Linked DNA regions of Sus scrofa. The protein of the gene in region 1 interacts with the protein of each later gene in a pairwise test. Links are inferred from orthologs where the notes say so. Each region holds a gene or a part of one and is shown on either strand. Other genes may lie near its edges.

Evidence for each region.
Region 2: the proteins of ARID5A (region 1) and CKS1B interact in binary tests that used the Homo sapiens proteins (3 or more experiments, as listed by UniProt). The two-hybrid records come from large-scale screens. The link is inferred for Sus scrofa from reciprocal best matches to the Homo sapiens genes ARID5A and CKS1B.

What each region holds. Positions count from the first base shown.
Region 1 is NC_010445.4:46,711,436-46,716,677, forward strand, and holds the start of ARID5A (AT-rich interactive domain-containing protein 5A), read right to left. Parts: upstream 2,687-5,242; 5' UTR 2,578-2,686; coding exon 2,574-2,577; intron 1-2,573. UniProt on the Homo sapiens protein: DNA-binding protein that may regulate transcription and act as a repressor by binding to AT-rich stretches in the promoter region of target genes.
Region 2 is NC_010446.5:94,816,373-94,821,614, reverse strand, and holds the start of CKS1B (cyclin-dependent kinases regulatory subunit 1), read left to right. Parts: upstream 1-2,031; 5' UTR 2,032-2,083; coding exon 2,084-2,142; exon of another isoform or gene 2,143-3,389; intron 3,390-4,617; coding exon 4,618-4,745; intron 4,746-5,242.

The sequences.
Region 1 (5,242 bases):
TCTCAATGCTTGGGGCAGGTGCTCCATAAACACAAGCCTCACTGAGCCTCACGGATGCAGCAGGAGCTACTTGACCTCAGATACTGCTGATGCTGAGAGGAGCTTGGCCTCGACTAGTTCAAGGTGTCTCTCTCTCTCTCTCTGTCTCTCTCTCTCTCTCCTGCACCCCCGCCCCCCAGGCCTCATTCACCCTCAGTGTGATAGGAAGGAAGCAACACTTCCTTTCATGAAAAGTCACCCACTGGGAGCACTGTGTCAATTACGACAATAATGGTAAAGGCAGCTTCAATAACAACCAGCAGACAGGGCCACACCTCCTCCTCGCCTGAGGTTGTTGGCTTAAGTTTCTCTTTGCTCAAGCTGGAGCTAAAACAAAGACAGCTTTTGAAGCGGCCAGTCCACTCTGTGGCCCAGGAGCCAGGCTGCCTGGCCGAGTATCTGTGCGGAGCTTGCTCCAGGGTGGGAGCCCAGGTTTGGGGAGGGGGGACCTGCCAAGGGCTGTGCTCCAGCCAGCACTGAGGACAGTCAGATGGCCTGGACATGGAAGCCATGGGTGTAGCTTGTGCCCTGCCTCAGTGTCTCAGCCGGGGGGAAGTGGGGACAGGGTCTGGGAGCAGCTGGGGCCAAGATGACAGCCTTGAGTCTAGAAAAGTGGGGTCATGGGGGCACCAAATGAGACTACTGTCTCCCAAGCCCTGCTGAGATTTGGTCTCTCTTTAAGCCAGTTAGGGAATATCCTAATGACCCTATTTGGGGATGAGGCTGAATCCCCACTGTCCCTCCTCTCCAAGTCTGGGTGACACCTGATGATAACTGTAACAGCTCCATCTATGGACTGTTTCCTGTGTCCCCATAAAGTAACCTGTGGAGAAACAAAGCTTGGTGGTGGCTTGTCCAAGACACGGCCCAATGGTAGAGGTACAGGCAGGACAGAGGAAGGCTGCCTGACCTCAGCTGGAGGCACTCCTTTGCTTCTCAGTGTGTCCATTCCCTTCCTGCAGCCCCCCAGGGTGGCTCTCCAAGCCAGTAAAGCAAGGTCCAAGAAGGAGGGTGGGTTATCCCAGGCCATGGCCCACCTGGGAAACAGGAGACCACAGGGAAGGGAGAGGGGGCAAGGTCTTAGAAGCTAGATTCATTCTCACTGCCGCAGGGCTAATGTCTAAGCCGCTGCTTCTCACACTCTAAATCAAAGAAGGAAGCACTGGTTGTCTGCGGTCCTTCCTAGCTCTACGGGACTCCAAGTCCTAGGTCCGAGAATGTTCCTCAGGGCTTGTACAGATGGTGGCCCAACCCACTAGCTGCCATCTCTTACCCTTCCTCTGCCCTAGCATGGCTTGTGGCCACAGAGACCCCACATCCCCAACAATGAGGATCCGGATGAAGCAAGAAGCACCTTTTATCCTCCCCTCAGCCCGAAGACCCCTGCTCACTAGCTGACGACCTCGCGAACAAAGGGAACCTGGGTCTGACCAGCCCTGTGACCCCACACCCACACCCTGAGCCCTCCCGAGTGCAGCACTGGCCATCCCCACCCCTACCCCAGCGTCCCTGGGGCTGGAGGACGTGCACCTGGCCCAGCCGCGCCCCCAGAACACTGTGCGCAGGGACCCTGGTGAGGCAGCCGCCGGATTGTGGTCCACGGCTCAGACTGAGGTCGAAGCCAAACACCTCTCCTCTGACGCTCGCAGCCCGCACCGCGCATCTCTGCTCTTCGCCAGCGTCACTCCCGGGGAGCCACCCTGTCCCTTCTGAAGACCCGAGGGGATAGAAAAGAAATAAAGGAAAGAGGAACAAAGAGTGAAGCTACTTCTTTTCTGCCGGAGGTGGGGGGCAGAGGAGGGTGGACCGGAGACAAGAAGAGAGACTAGAGAAGAAAAGAAAAAAAAAAGGAAGAGAAAAGAGAAAGGGTAGGGGGCGAGGAGCGGGTAACCGCCGAAGGATCGGCTGAAAGAGGAACAGTTGATTCTTCAAAATGCATTGAGCAAGTTCTTCAAAATCCGCGCAGAGTCACTTTCAGGAAACAGCGGCCGCCAGTGGAAAGCGCCCCGCGCGCCCAAAGGACCCGGGTGCCTCTTCTCGGCGGCGCCGGCGGGTTCTGAGAACCGCCGGGATGTGACGGGGGAGGGGGTGGGAGGGCGGCGGGGGGGTGCTGCAGGCAGAGAACTGCTGCGGACAGCTGTCACAACAAATTAGCTGAGACCAGCTCGAGATTGAAACCACAGCAGGAAGTGGGATGACAGAACCGTACAGGACTTGGTAAATTTCAGTCAAGAGACGACGAGAAGAGTTTCGAGATAAACGCCCGGGAAGCCCCAGGCCGCCAAAACTTTTTGTCTTTCCTTTTTTCGAAGAGCACGCGCCGACACCCGGCCTCACCCTCCCGCGCCGGGCAGAGGGCGCGGGTGCCCCAGGCCAGGCTAGGTCCCCACGCCCTCGCCCCCCGAGTCCTTCCTCCGCCGGGTTCCGCCCCCCAAGGCAGCACCTACGACTACGAGCACCGGGGCTGACCTGGCACAGCAACCTCCCCATCCCGCGGGGCCGCCACCCCCGTCCCGGGCCGCAGAGACACTCACCCATGGCCCAGCGAGGTGCCGCGGCGCCTGCCGAGACCCTCCGCACAGACCGACGTCCCTACTCTGCGCTCTGCGCGCAACTGGCTGGAGGCACGGATCGCCAGCCGCCTCCCCGTGGCCCCGCCCCGCCCAGCCCTGCCTGGCCCCGCCCCTGTCCCACTGTGGGCTCCGGTTGGCGGGTCCGATTCTCCCCCGAGGGGTAGGGGGCCGCCCCCCGAGCCTGAGGAACTCTGGGAGTTGTAGTGTGCTCTTCTTACTCCCCAGGCTCAGCGACCTGGGCTGCAGAAGTAGGTTTCCCACCTGGAGGGGCTCAGGCAGGACAGCCTGGAGTCACTGCTGCCTGGTGCCAACGGAAGCAAAACTCGAGTCTTGGAAAAATCTTCCTTGCTCCCTCCGTAGGGCAATGGGGCAGTGAACAAAGTGCTTCTGACTTGAACTAGGCGGAAGATATCTCCCACTGTCCCTCCTAGCCCAACACAGAAGTAGAGATGGTTGGTATTAGCTGAATGAGGACCCCAGACCGAATTAGCACATCCTTGGCTAAAGCTCTGTGGGGTCCCAGAAATGCCTGGGACAGGAAACCTGCTGGCAGTGGCTAGTGTCCACAATGTCTCAAAGATAGGGCAGCTACAAAGTGAGCCATCTAAAGAGAGGGCATGGCTCTGGGGAGATGAGAGTGAAGCTTCTGATGGAGCATGGGCCTGAGGAGATGCTGAGCCAACTGCAGCAGGGCTTTGGCTGTATTCACTCCACCGTCCAAGTCACATCTGAGGCTCAGGTTTGAGAGCCCAAGGTCTGGAAGCATCATTCACAGTAGCCAAAAGGTGGAAGCAACCCAGTGTCCACTGAGGGATGAATGGGTTAACTGCGATATGGACATACAATGGAATATCACTCAGCCTTAAAAAGGAGGACAATTCCAACACATACAACATGGATGAACCTCGAAGACAAGATATTAAGTAAAAAAAAAAAAAGACACAAAGGACAAATATTGTGTGATTCCACTTACATAAAGTACTGGTGTCAAATTCATAGAAACAAATAGGATGGTTCTTTGCCAGGAGCTTGGGAGAGGGGAAATAGGGAGTTAGTGTTTAATAAGCACGGAGTTTCAGTTTTGCAAGATGAAAAGGTTCAGGAGGGGGATGGTGGGGATGGTTGCACAACAATATGAATATACTTAATATCCCTGAACTGTATGCTTAAACATGGTTAAAATGGTAAATTTTATGTTATATATATTTCACCACAATTTGAAAAAAGATCCACGCTCTCAGCATCGAGCCCTGTTCCTAACACAAAGTAGGCACGCACAGATTTTTGTTGATTAATTTTTTCTTTTTTTTTTTCTTTTTCTTTAGGGCCACACCTGAGGCATATGGAAGTTCCCAGGCTAGGGGTGGAATTGGAGCTGTTGCTGCCAGCCTACACCACAGCCACAGCAACACCAGATCCAAGCGCTTGTGGCGATGCAGCATCCTTAAACCCAGCGAGGCCAGGGATTGAACCTGTATCCTCACGGATGGATACTAGGGGGATTCTTAACCTGCTAAACCAGAACAGGAACTTCTGTTGATTAGGGGTTTTTTTAAGTTTATTTTTTCCATTATAGTTGATTTACAGTGTTTTGTCCATTTCTCTCTTGATTAGCTTAATACAAAGAGCTCTTTGCATTTCATTTACACCATCATTGTCATCATTTTACAGAGTAAAACTGAGGTTCTGAAGGTTAATTAGCTCAAGTGAGATGGCTGGTAAGTGGTGGAGCCTGAGCTACACCCAGGCATTTGGGCTCTAGAACAGGTGGCCTTAACCATTCCCCTCAGGCATCTCTTGAATCAGAGGCCATGGCCTGAGGAGGAAAATGTGTAAAGGGGAAGACGTGAGAGTGCTGGTGAGAACAAGGTGAGCCAGCGAGATGTCCTGTGCTAGCTGGAACTGAAGAGCAAAGCTAAGACTGGAGCTACAGATGGTTAAGGAGCCCTTGCACCCAGACACCCACCAACCCTGTTTGCATTCATTACCACTCAGCCGTCACCTTAAACAAATGGACCAGGGCTGTAGGTGGGTGGCCCTGAAATCCTGGCCCTTATCCTTTGGCTCTAGGATGGAAGATCTCTCCAGGCTCAGCCCAGAGTGGACAACACTGCGGCTTCCTCGTCTACCTCATCACAGGTTGGTTTGTAAAAGCCAATGCATAGAGACTTGGTAACAGACACAGTATCAACAATAGTTAAGCAACAGCCTGGAACAATTGTTATAATGGTGATTATAACAGTGCACCCCTCTTCCTAGCTTACCAGAGCGCCAGTAGAGTTTTTTTTTTTGGGGGGGGGGCGGATTCCACAGCAAAATCCCATTAGGAAGGTTTATGAGGCTCACTTTGGTCCATTCCATAAGGATTGTTTGCCCAAGGTTCAGGATGGTGACCTGGAAACTGCCCCTTACTGGCTCAGTCTAGGCCAATCCCACCTGCAGGACTGGATACCCCTTCTGATGAGGGACTCACTGCCTGACAAAGCAGCAGCTCATCCCACACAGGACAGAGTGATTCGCCATCCAGGCAGCCCAGCACAATTTACAGACAGCGGCTGTTGTGCAAAGCCTCAGCAAGTCAACACCTGCCTGTGCCAACCTGGGAACAATCTGATCTAAATTTAATTGCC
Region 2 (5,242 bases), on another chromosome or scaffold:
ACCTCCTCTTGGTCCACAACGGAGGAGAGCTTTGCCACTCCATTTGCCACTCCTGGGAAGAAACTCTATGGCTCTCTTTCCTAAGGCCTCAGCTCCCAGGCCTAGAGAGAATGAAGAAAGTATGCTGCCGGAGCCTCACACCTTCCACACACACAAACACACACCAGGATGTGCTCATCTTCAGAGGCAGGCATTTGGTGGCTGCCTGCAGGATCCAGAGGTCGTGGATGACCAACAGGTGTGGGCATCGTCAGACAAAAGAGAGGAAGCAGGGCTCTTTAAATTTACGTAGGAAGAAAAGAGATTGCTACTGAGAGTCCTGGCCTCTGGGTGTGGGGAAGAAGCTGCGTGTGGCGCCTCAGCCCAGTAGGGAGGAGGAGGCAAGAGCGGCGGAAAGTAGCAGGAAATGGCGAAAGCCTCAGGAATGTTTCCAGAAGGGAAGGCTGGGCAAGCGGGAAAGAGGAATGCCCAGACTAGAACTCTGGTTAGGGGGAAGGGAAGAGCCAGAGAAATGCTGCGGCCTGAGGAGGCCCTTAAAAAAAAAAAAAAAAAAAATCAAAGAGCAAAAAGGACACTGTTCCCTAACCCACTGCAAGCCACTTTCTGGTGATAGAAAATTTGCGCTTCTGTCACACCCACATGTCGCACATCAACAAATCCATGGCCCTACCCAGCTCCCGACGATGACCACGACGACGACGATGGACAGGTATGAGACAAACAGCTGTTTCTGGGGTGGAGTCGGTCCTGGGAAGGGAAACTCAGGGAGTGGGGTTGGGAGTCTATGAGCAAGTCTCCCTCCCGCTCTCGTGCCAAACCCCAAGTCCAGCCCCCTACAAGTAGGTCCACCCTTGTAAGGGGATAAGGACAAGGGCTGCCTCTAATCTCTTACTTCTCAGAACCAGAGATGTGAACTTTTGCCTTCCTACCCGGTGGAGCATGAGAGCTCAGGAAAATTGAGCTAGAGGCCCCAAAGAGAAAAAGAACAGGGAAATGTAAGCAGGTGACGTTCCAGGGGCTGAAGACAAAGCTCCCCAGGCGATGACCTGGGACCTACAGGGATAAAGATCTTGAGGGGGCGTGGTCCCTTAGGACGCGTGCATCAGAGATTTCCAGGAGGCCAGGCTTCTGGGCGATCAGACGTGGATTAGGGAAGGGGCGGAGCTTCTAGAGGGGCGGAAACCCTAGAGAGGAGTGGCTTCACGAATTCAAGCAGATCTTTGAGGGGCAGGGCTTTGCCCTTTGGGGAGATAGGCTTTTTGACAGACAGGAGTTAGCGGAGAATCGTCGCGAGGCGGGGTTTCGGGTAATTGGAAAGACTTAACGTTGGGTTTCTAGGAGTAAGGCTTGGAAGCATGTCTAGGGGTGGGACTTCCAGGAAAGCTGGGCGACGGGGTGGGGTCGGGGACAATAAACGGAAAATAAGTCGGGGTTCAGGGAGCCCCCTGAAGTTGGGAGGTGGGACTTCCGGGGAGGGGGTCGCAGGGGGCGGGACTTATAAATGAAGACCGGAAGTAGGGTCCCGGGAGAGGGGTTCCGGGGTGGAGGGGAGGTTCGCCTAAGGAGAAAAAAAAAGGTCCCAACTCACCAGGGCTTCATGGGGTCTCCGCACCGCACCGCGGGTCGATTTGGTTCCGGATCACGCCACTGCCTCCTTAGGTCGCCGCTCCAACTTTCTCCCCGGGCCCGGCCTCCCTGGAGAAACTTTATTGCACTCACTTCCGGCCTTACTAACCCCTGACCCTCTACCTCATCGTCCCTCCTTCACCCGTCCCACTTTCCCAAATCAGCCAATGATGCGCGAGAACGCTCACAGGGCAGTGATAGCCTATAAGAGGCCTATTTTTGCCCTACGTTTTTCTTTAGAAACTTAAGCAGTGCACTCCAATAAGGACCTGAAGAGAAGCAAATCTAAGCCAATCGAAGGCTTGGAAGTGGAGTTGTCCCGCCTTCCGCCAGGCGGACCAATAGGAAGCGCGGGCGGCGTGTTTGAAAGCGAGGCCAAAGAGGGTGGGAGCGCGTGCTGCTGGGAGTTGTTTGGAGGTTGGCGGTGCGGTGTTGACGGTCCTCTGGCAGAGCGATCATGTCGCACAAACAAATTTACTATTCGGACAAATACGACGACGAGGAGTTCGAGTACCGGTTAGTGCCGGCGCGGGGGCAGTATCGAGGTGGTGAGCTTTGACAAGTGTGGGCACGAGGAATTAGTAACAGGGACCGAAGGTATAGAGTCGGCGCATGCGCAAGAGGTTAACGGGAATGGGTGTGCGCTTTGAGCGTAAGGCGCATGCGCTAAGGGTAGGGGGTCGCTCAAAAAAGCCTAAAAGTGGTAGTGAATTTGTAGTAAGCTCTCCCGTGGGGAGGAGGCGTAGGTGGGCGTGGTTAGAGTGCTGACCATCCCCACTCTTGAGGGTTTCTGGATCATTCTCTCCAATTTGCTCAGCAGATTGAACTTGACTTCTTGAGACTGCTTGTATCACCGCAACACCACAGAGCCTCTGGGGTCGGGAGAAGCTCGAATTTTCCTCGCCTCTTCAAAGTGAGGGGAGTTCTGAGAGAGCCTGAGTGGTGTTCATTAATTCTTGGAAAAGGAGCGTGGTTGTCTGGCTTGTTTTATAGGAAGGGGGCTTTGAAGATCAGGAGTGGAATAAAACTGGCCAGAAGCATTGAGTAAAGACTTAATACGGACCTAATAGATGACCTTCAAATATTTGAAGGGCATCTACTTGGGAAACAGCTTATAGGTTTCAGATGTTGTGCTAAAGTGCAGGGATAAGCCATGGTGCCTGCTTTCACCAAAACTTTTTTAAGTCTGTGGAAATACTCAGAAGGTGGTACTTGGCATGATAGAACTTTGTACAGGCTGTGATGGGAGCAGTAGGACTTGCCAAGCACAGCGAAGAAAGTGAGTCGCTCCAGAGTTTGCATTTGATAAATCCTAACCATAATTCTAGATTAGAAAATTAGGGAAGAAAAGGAGTTCTGCAAATGTTGGCATTCCACCAATCTGTGTTAATTGTAATACTTAAAACACCTGGAAGCTTGGTTGTTTTGTATTTCTTCTGCAGCCTAGTGCAGGGCTCTGGGCCCTCTGGAGAACTTGGAGTGTGCCAACAAATACATAACTATATGTATGCCACATGGTTGGGAAAAGACCCCGAGCCCTGTTTGGACCTAATTAACTTTCTTTTCCTCACCTGTTTTCCTCTCCATCTAAAGGAGGCTAACTAAAATTAGGTGCTTATAATTTATAAGGGCTAGGGGAACATCACTAGTTTCCTCCCCTGGAATATGTAAGACTTGGCAGTGATACCTGGTTTAAGAGAAGAGGTTTTATTATGTGTTGCTTTTTTTATTTGTTTTTTGGGGCTATTGGGATTTTTTTTTGTCTAAATGGGTATGGAAGCCAGTCTTTACTCCAGGGACTTATTAGGATGTAAGCTATTTTCAAATATTTAGACTAGAATGGACTCTTTGGGGTTCCCGTTGTGGTTCAGCGGTCATGAACCTGACTAGTATCCATGAGGATGCAGGTTCAATCCCTGGCATCGCGCAGTGGGTTAAGGATCTGGCATTGCCATGAGCTGTGGTTTAGGTCCCAGACGCTGCTCTGATCCTGAGTTGCTGTGGATGTGGCAGCTTTCATAGGCCACAAGTGAGGCTCTAAAAAGAAAAAAAAAAAATGTCTCTTTGGAGAAAAAAAAAATCTGTTAGCACAGAGAGAGCATTCGGTACATTTTCATTGAACATGCTAAAGTCTGTCTGGGTCAGCCCAATCCAAATCAGAATAGTAACTTCTTTGCCATGAAAGGGACTTATGCTTGATTAGGAAAGCATGCAGTTTCCCAAAAGAAATCTCATGGCACATCCCTTCAGAGTTAGGAAAGTAAAATTAAAGGAGAAGACATTTACATTTCTGCCTTTGTGCTGGCTGCTTTTTTTTTTTTTTTTTTTTTTTTTTGGCTTTTTAGGGCTGCACTAGCAGCATATAGAGGTTCCCAGGCTAGGGGTTGAATCAGAGCTGTAGCCACCAGCCCACGCCGCAGCATCTGCTGCCTACACAACAGCTCACGGCAACACCAGATCCTTAACCCACAGAGCGAGGCCAGGCATTGAAACTGCGTCCTCATGGACACTAGTCAGAATCATTTTCCCTGAGCCACAGTGGAAACTCCTGTATTGGCTTTTCTATACAGTACTCCCTGATAGGCCTTTCCTGTCCATGAAATCATGTCCCTCCCTTCCTTACCAACCCTGTGCAAAACTGCCTTTAATTATTAACACTGTGTGTGTTGTGGGGCTCCCATTATATTGTTCTAGGGTAATCAACTAGAAGACTGTAATCTCCGAGAAGGCTGAGGCAGTGCCTGGAATTTAGGTGCTCCTTCACTGGTGTTATCCATTAATTTGTACTTTTTAATATCCTTTTGTAAGAATTTACGTAACGTGGCCTTTATTTTCTAGCTGCCTCTGCCCCACAGTGAGATTATACAAACTCCCTGCCATTAGGAACCGGTTTTTCTTTCCTTTCCTCTCTTGGTTGTAAATGCAGGCACTCGTCTGACAGTGTACCCGGTAATGAAACCAATTCCCCGCCTTCCCATGTTTCTGTTACAGGCACGTCATGTTGCCCAAGGACATAGCCAAGCTGGTCCCTAAAACCCATTTGATGTCTGAATCTGAATGGAGGAACCTTGGCGTTCAGCAGAGTCAGGGATGGGTCCACTATATGATCCATGAACCAGGTCAGTGCACTGGCAGAAAGCAATCATGTAGGCCTGTGGGAATAAAGGAATGATAAGATCACATGGCCCAGAGAAATAAGGGGAAGGTGGGGGTGGTTTACTGCGTTACCCCACCAGCTATCTAGAAAAACAGAAGTGACCAAAAATAAGAACGTATCTGGGAAGTTCAGACCCAACCTGTCACTGAAAAAAATCTTTAATCTAGTTCAGTCAGAGGGTGCTCTCTTTTTCAGGCCACATATACCCTGGTAGAAGTTATGGCCCCTGCTTCACTCTCCATCGGAAAGTGAATTTTTGGAAGTGTTCCAGATAAACCCAAGGAAAAGTACACTTCTTGATAAAACACCAGACACCAAACTGCCAGGCAAAACTAATAAAGGACACCCTGGGGCTGTACAAACATAGCAAGAGAAACGATGTTAATAATTTTGTACTTGGTACACAGGCCTGGCCTCTGGGTCTGCATCTTAGGTCACATGCTTAAGTCTTAATTTAGT